Xenopus tropicalis: one gene and its partner. The protein of the gene in region 2 purifies or fractionates together with the protein of the main gene of each other region. This does not show direct contact. Links are inferred from orthologs where the notes say so. Each region holds a gene or a part of one and is shown on either strand. Other genes may lie near its edges.

Region 1 (3,572 bases), on a different chromosome or scaffold from region 2:
ATTAGGTTCATGAAATAAAAAAAGAGGTACGGCAGCATACAAGCCAATGTGGAAAAGTCAATGTATATTTATTTCAGTGCTATCACATCTTAACCCCAGTGCAGAAGCAGAACAGACTAAAGGGACTAAATAGAAACAGATATTGAATAGATCACTGCAGTTTCCAGCAAAGGTGAATACGCTCTCTCACCGTTTGGCTGATCTGGAGGTTTCTCAGTAAGTTCATAGCAGCAGGAATCAGTGGAAAACTGAAATTGTGTTACAAATTTGAATTAACATGATGAAAAGAAAGGGAGAAAATATAAAAAGCCATTGTTTTGAGGAAGGTTTACAATTAGCAACCCATAATTTCAAGGTAGTACTAGTTTCCCTTTGTATGGTAAAAGAACACAGAGTAACAGACAATTAACAGCTTGTGGTAAGCCAATCATAATGCTTCAGTAAAAGGCAATATTATGCCCCAATCCCACTGACATTTAACAAGCCACAATGTGTTATTGAATAGAAGTTGTGTTCTTTCCTGAATCAGCCATCCCTGGAATGATCTATTCATGCACAATTCACGGGGGCTGCTTCTATGTATATAATCCTTATGATGTTCACATAAAAAGAAAAAAAAAAGATAAATAGTATTAGCAGGACCTCTTATGGGCCAGTAGCTCTGTTGGGGATCCAGCTAATTCCACCTATTTCTATCTGGAGCTCTTCTGATAATGCCATTGGCCACTTCTGGTCTCTCATGAAGTCTCCATCTAGTCAGCAGCTTCACTCTTGGCCTCTTCATATACAGGTTCTGAGTCAGGAGCCTCAGGCTCCGTACCATCTCCTCCCTTTGCATTCGGAACCCAAAGTCCTGAGTCAATGCACTGCTTCATAAAAAATCTTGCTTCCTGCAATGCAAGTGAATAAATATGTTGATTAAAAACAAAAATAAAATACTATGAATAACTATGATAACTGTAAAGTAGACAAGTGATGTCATCAGTTAAGATGGCTATACACGCTAAGATCTGCTTGCCTGGCGAGGTCCCCAAGCGAGCGGATCTTCTCCCGACAGCCCCACCTATGGGTGGAAGATATTGGGCTTATTCAGTCGTTTGGCCCTGGAGCCAAACGATCGGATTAGAACAGCAGGTATGGGCGCCCGTTGGTTTGGGGACCGCATCAACTAACCCAATGTCAGGCCAGATGTCTGTCAGGCAGGTGCGTCGTTAGTGCCCATACACAGGCCGATAAGCTGCCGAAACAGTCTAAGGGACAGATGTTGGCAGCTAGAATCGGCCCGTGTATGGGTGCTTAGTGACATGTGTCAGATGACTCACTAGAACTTATGTAAAAGATAAAACATAAGACTTCCATAAGACTATAGTCTTTTGGTTTGTTTATGGAACAGCTCAGTGACTTCCAATATCCTTATAATTTACAGAAGGGGGTACATTATCCCTTATAATACATGAGTGATACCCAGAGTTCCCTGTATAACTCAGCCTGCAGCCTTGTGCCTTTATATGGGCACAGAACCCCTCAGTGACTGCTAATATCCTTATCATTTACAGTAGGGGGTACATTATCCCTTATAATACATGAGTGATACTCAGAGTTCCCTGTATAACTCAGCCTGCAGCCTTGTGCCTTTATATGGGCACAGAACCCCTCAGTGACTGCTAATATCCTTATCATTTACAGTAGGGGGTACATTATCCCTTATAATACATGAGTGATTCTCAGAGTTCACATGTCAGTCAAGCACTGTGTCTCTGTTTATGTAAAAGATGCAACAGTAATATCTATTTGCTAACACCATTATTACTATAGTACAGCATAGCATGCTAAGAATTTTTTTTATACACAGCCAAGGTAATCAATATGGCACCTCCCCCAACTGCAAGATAATAACCCCATATACATACAGAGATGGTTTGCCATGACCTTGACCTAACTGAACACCTATGGGAGGCACTGAAACGCCACATCTAGGCCTGAGCCCCATCAGTGCTTACCTTCTTCCGTATGAATGTGAACAAATCCCACCAAAATGCATTCCCAAAAGAGTGCAAGTTACAGGCTCTTTTATGGGCAAAATGAGGACCAACTTCATATTAAAGGGAAACTACACCCACATAATGAATGCTTAACCAACAGACAGTTTATATTATGTTAAGTGACCTATTAAAGAATCTCCCCAAACTGGCAATAATATAATATTGGCCTTTTACATCCTTTACCTTGATCCACCATTTTGTGAAGGGCTGTTTGCTCCCTCAGAGATCACCTGACAGGAAGTAATGCAGCTCTAACTGTAACAGGAAGTAGTGTGGGAGCAAAAGGCAGAACTCTGCCCATTCATTGGCTGATGGGGCCTAGCATGTATGTGTGCCTTGGCTTGTTTGTGTGTACTGTGAATCCTATGATTCCAGGGGGCGGCCCTTAATTCTTAAAATGTAAATTTACTATTTAGGATTACCCAATGGCACATATTACTAAAATAGTATATTTGTATGAAAATGGTTTATTTAGATAACACAGGGTTTTACATATGAGCTTATTTATGTAATATATTTAGGGTATAGTTTTCCTTTAATGTCTTTGCTCTTAAAATGAAATGTTGGACAGGTAGGTGTCCACATTTGGCCTCATACCGTATGTAGCTGTGGGGCCCATAGACTGATCAGCAGGATAACCTGAAAAATCATCCTCTATGTGGCCACCTTAGAACTTACAGTGAATCTCTGCTCATTGCATCACCGGTGGGGAGCTCAATGGGAAATCTGACTGAAATGAAAAGCTGTGGTCCTGCAATTGTGTCCCAATTAACTTACAGTTGGGTCCATTTTGCTGATGGTGTCCTGTAACATCTGAATATCTTTAGAATCAAAACATTTCTGAAGCTCCTGTAAAAGAAACAGAATAAAATGACTGGTTTGCGTTGGCTAAAAAAACTTAAAGGGATTCTATTGTGATTTTAAGGTGTAGTTTTTATTACTAAATGACATTGTTTACGTAGCAAATAATGTATATGTTTAGTTGTAACATTGGTGTGTAGGCGCCATCTCAGTGCATTGTGCCTGAGTCTGAGCTTTCAGAAGGAGCCAGCGCTACACATTAGAACTGCTTTCTTGCCCTAGCTACATTGGGACTTTCTATCATTTTTCCTGCTTGGGTGCTATTCTTAGGTCTACCACTAGAGGGCATGTTTAGCAATGGAAAATTTCTGAATTTGTTTTGTTCTATACAACACTGAAATCTTCTCCTGTCTTCAGGGTAAGAGGGCATGAGGTGGCAGAAATCATTCCTTCTCACTGCATTAAAATGTATGTAGATTCCCTAATTCTGCCACAGACAATACTGAGAATTGCCTCTGCTCAAACAGACGTAGAGATAGTTATCAGTAAATGATCAGCACTGTCTTTTTTTAGTAGCTACAACAAGTAGCTGCTACTAGTAGCTCCATGTGTGTTCACCCTGAGGATGGGATAGGTGGTTATGTGAGACCATAGGGATGTGATAGGTGGTTTTGTGGGACTGGGACTGATAAATGGTTATGTGGCAGTGTACAGAAGGCAAATAAATAC
Region 2 (3,572 bases):
TAGTAGCTTCTGACACATTCTGGCCTATTTATTATATTCTTACCATACTTATAGCTGGGTCCTCAGTGTTTCTTTTCATTATCTTTTGTCCCTCCAATACAACCGAAAGACCAAAGTCTGAGATTACACACAAGGAATCAGCAGTTACCAGGATGTTTTCACTGCTGAGATCTCGATGGGCAATTGGTGGTTTGTACACATCTGTATAAGTGAAATTTTAGAAACTAGATTTCATGCTCAAACAATTTAATTGATATAGTTGTTATTAGTGATGAGTAAATCTGTCCAGTTTCATTTCACTGGAAAATTTGTGGACTGGTGAATAATTTGTGAAATGTGAAAAATGACGCACATGCACATGCTTCAAAAAAAATTGTTGCATGCATCGGGACTATTTTTTTGATGCATGTAATTTTTATCTACGCAAGCAACTTTTTTTGTTGCGAGGCAAATTTTCCGTTTCATGGAAAAACCCACCAGTGGCGAAACACATACAGTCACAACAAATCCATGGCTGGTGAAAAATGTCTCTCATCACTAGTTGTGATTCTATCATCATTTCTTTATATAGTGCCAGAAAATGATGCAGCACTTTACATTAAATTCTAAGAAACAGGTATCTTGAAATAATTTAACAAACAAAGGGTTTACAGATTAACAATAGAGGACCTACTTGCATAAATTTACAAAAGGGATTAAGAGTACATTTGCAACAAAAGGAAACTGATGATTTATAATACATAAATGTCTGATCAATCTAGATACATTGAAACCTTCCCTAAACAGATGGGTCTTAGGGCTCTGGTTTCCTCTCAAGGCAACTTCCGCGATTTCAGGGAAATCGCGGCGCCGCGTATGCCATCCCACCGCCGATTTACATTTTCGCCGGTGGGATGGCATTTCGGGGAGATTAGTTGCCCGCGAACGGGGAGATTTGTCACGGGCGACTAATCTCCCCGTGTGCCTGAGCCCTTAGGGAGCGTTTGAAAGTTTTTAAGGAACCCAAATCGGCAGCTGAAATCAGCCTGTGCATAGCCACCTTAATTCCTAGGCAGCGTGCCTGTGTGGTTAATTGAAAGGTGATGTTATTGACTGTGAGTGATACCTGAGGGACAGGGGAAGATATTGGAGGAAATATGTTTTCAAAAGATTCAGTTTCAAATGGTGCTGTCACATCAAGGAGGATGAGAACTTGAAAAGGACAGAAAGAGAGAGGTCAAAAGTAGACTGTAGAGCTGGGTGTCATCTGCATAAGGGTGGTACTGAAGTCCAAATGGCTGAATAAGTTTCCCTAGAGAAGATGCCTTGGGGAACTCCAACAGAGAGAGGGAATGAGGTGGAGGAGAGTTAGAGAATGCAACTTTAAAGGAACAGTAACACCAAAAAATCAAAGTGTATAAAAGGAACTACAGTATAATGTATTGTTGCCCTGCACTGGTGCAACTGGTGTATTTGCTTTAGAAACATTACTATAGTTTAGTAAATGAAGCTGCTGTGTAGCCATGGGGGCAGCCATTTAAAATAGAAAAGGCACAGGTTACATAACAGATAACAGATAAGTTCTGTACAATACAATGGTTTTTTTTATCTGTTATCTCCTATGTGCCTGTGCCTTTTCTCCTTTTTCCAGCTTGAATGGCTGCCCCCATGGCTACACAGCACCTTTTTATATAAACTATAGAAGTGTTTCTAAAGCAAATGTGCAAATTTTACCAGTGCAGGGCAACAGTGCATTGTATTATGATTACTTAAAAACATTTTGATTTTTTGGTGTTACTGTTCCTTTAAGGGACCGGGCAGAAAGAGAAGATTTAAACCAAAAGAGCAGTGTCACTAATGCTAACTGTGTACAGAATGTCTAGAATGAGTACTATCTGTGCTTAAGAATATCTAAAATTATCACTGCTTGGTAAACAGGACTCATACATTATAAATGTGTCTGATACAGTATATAGGTCATATTGTGTTCAAGCAAGGGTCTGTATGTGTGTTTGTGTGTGAATTTAGCAATTATCTCTGAAAACAGTGCCACAGCAACTATAAATTATTCAGCTACACAGTATGCTCAGCTGGTATCTGCATATGCCCCAATGCAAAACAAACCAGCAGTGACATGTAAAGGCAATGCCACAGTATTATCAAATAGTATTGTGTCAAAATAGGCACGGTCGCGTCAAATTGAATGTTTTACCTGTATGGCAAAAAAAATGTCAAACTTGCTGATAATAACAGCAGCATGTGTGCTCTGCATTATGGAGCCTGTTTTAAGGTTATTTGATTTTATTAAAAAATGAGATGAAATCAAAATTAAATCACAAAGAGAAAAGATTTTATGAATTATCCAAACCTTCTTTCCATATGTCTGCATGTAGGAATGCCAGTCCTTTGGCAAGGGATGTTGCCATTTGGCATGCTGTGGTCCAGTTAGTGGTACAATGTATCAAGTAACTCCTGAGAGAGCCCTGCAAAAAAGAAATATATATATATATATATATATATATATATATATATATATATATATATATATATATATATATATATATATATATATATATATATAAACTAGTCCATAGGGTGCACACCATTTGCAGCAACAAAACCTGGATGCTAGTACAAAAAAATGCATTGGAACAAGAGTGCTGTCCTTGTTCCAGTATATATGTATATATGGCTGCATATTACATTTAAATACACTCTTTTGATTTGCACAGAAATCTCAGTGTTGCTGGTCTTTTTTATATGATATATATATATATGACAAGTGATGGTGGGTGGGGTGGATTTGAGTGATGAGAACTGTAAAAATGCAGACATCTGGTGATCCTCCAGGACCCTGAAATAGGGGTAGGCAGAAAGAAGAAGTATGTGTCTAACACCCTGCCACCTCTATGCCACTTCGCTCTTCTGTTTACTACTAATTCCAGCCCTGCTATCTTGCATGCCTGAATGAGCACAGAGACCTACATTAATTCATTTAGCTTGAAAGACAGGGTGCAAATTGGAAACAAAATGGCGGTCTGCCATTTGCCCTGATTTTTGGACTTTGTACCCTGCCTTTCAGGTTTGATATGACACCTTACAACTACCACCCCTATCTTTGGTCCTCAACATGCTATATTTGTAAAGAAGACAGACAGCATGGTTCATTTTTGGAGTTAAGGACTTCTTTTTGGTCAAATATTTGGCCGTGGTCCCCCCTTAGTTTATGACAAGGTTACATTTGGGAAACCACTGCCTTCGAGTTCATTAGTCATAAAAGGTCAACTTTTTTAGGCCACAAATTTGATACTTACTCTAGGATAATGCTGCAGTACCAGAAGATAATGTTCTTTTAGGAAGCTAGAAGAACCTGCCTTAATGAGACATACTATGTTCTTGTGATGAAGAGAAGTCAAGAGACTGAGGATCCTGTATTCTTGTTTGTACTGCTCTCGTAGGGCTGGCGGGAAGCACTTTATGACCACGTTTCTCCCATGAAAATTTCCAAGACTTAATTGTACTGACAAACTATCCTCTTTGAGCGCCTAAAGAGATGGACAACACAAGGGACTCTGCTCAGTAACAGAACAACT

Evidence for each region.
Region 1: the proteins of amhr2 (region 2) and cdc37 purify together in Homo sapiens (co-immunoprecipitation; 3 studies listed by BioGRID and IntAct, with this or other methods). This does not show direct contact. The link is inferred for Xenopus tropicalis from reciprocal best matches to the Homo sapiens genes AMHR2 and CDC37.

Annotation. Positions count from the first base shown.
Region 1 is NC_030679.2:137,659,899-137,663,470, forward strand, and holds the end of cdc37 (hsp90 co-chaperone Cdc37), read right to left. Parts: intron 2,892-3,572; coding exon 2,820-2,891; intron 891-2,819; coding exon 753-890; 3' UTR 49-752; downstream 1-48. UniProt on the Homo sapiens protein: Co-chaperone that binds to numerous kinases and promotes their interaction with the Hsp90 complex, resulting in stabilization and promotion of their activity. Inhibits HSP90AA1 ATPase activity.
Region 2 is NC_030678.2:146,938,531-146,942,102, forward strand, and holds part of amhr2 (anti-Muellerian hormone type-2 receptor), read right to left. Parts: intron 3,525-3,572; coding exon 3,294-3,524; intron 2,463-3,293; coding exon 2,348-2,462; intron 202-2,347; coding exon 44-201; intron 1-43. UniProt on the Homo sapiens protein: On ligand binding, forms a receptor complex consisting of two type II and two type I transmembrane serine/threonine kinases.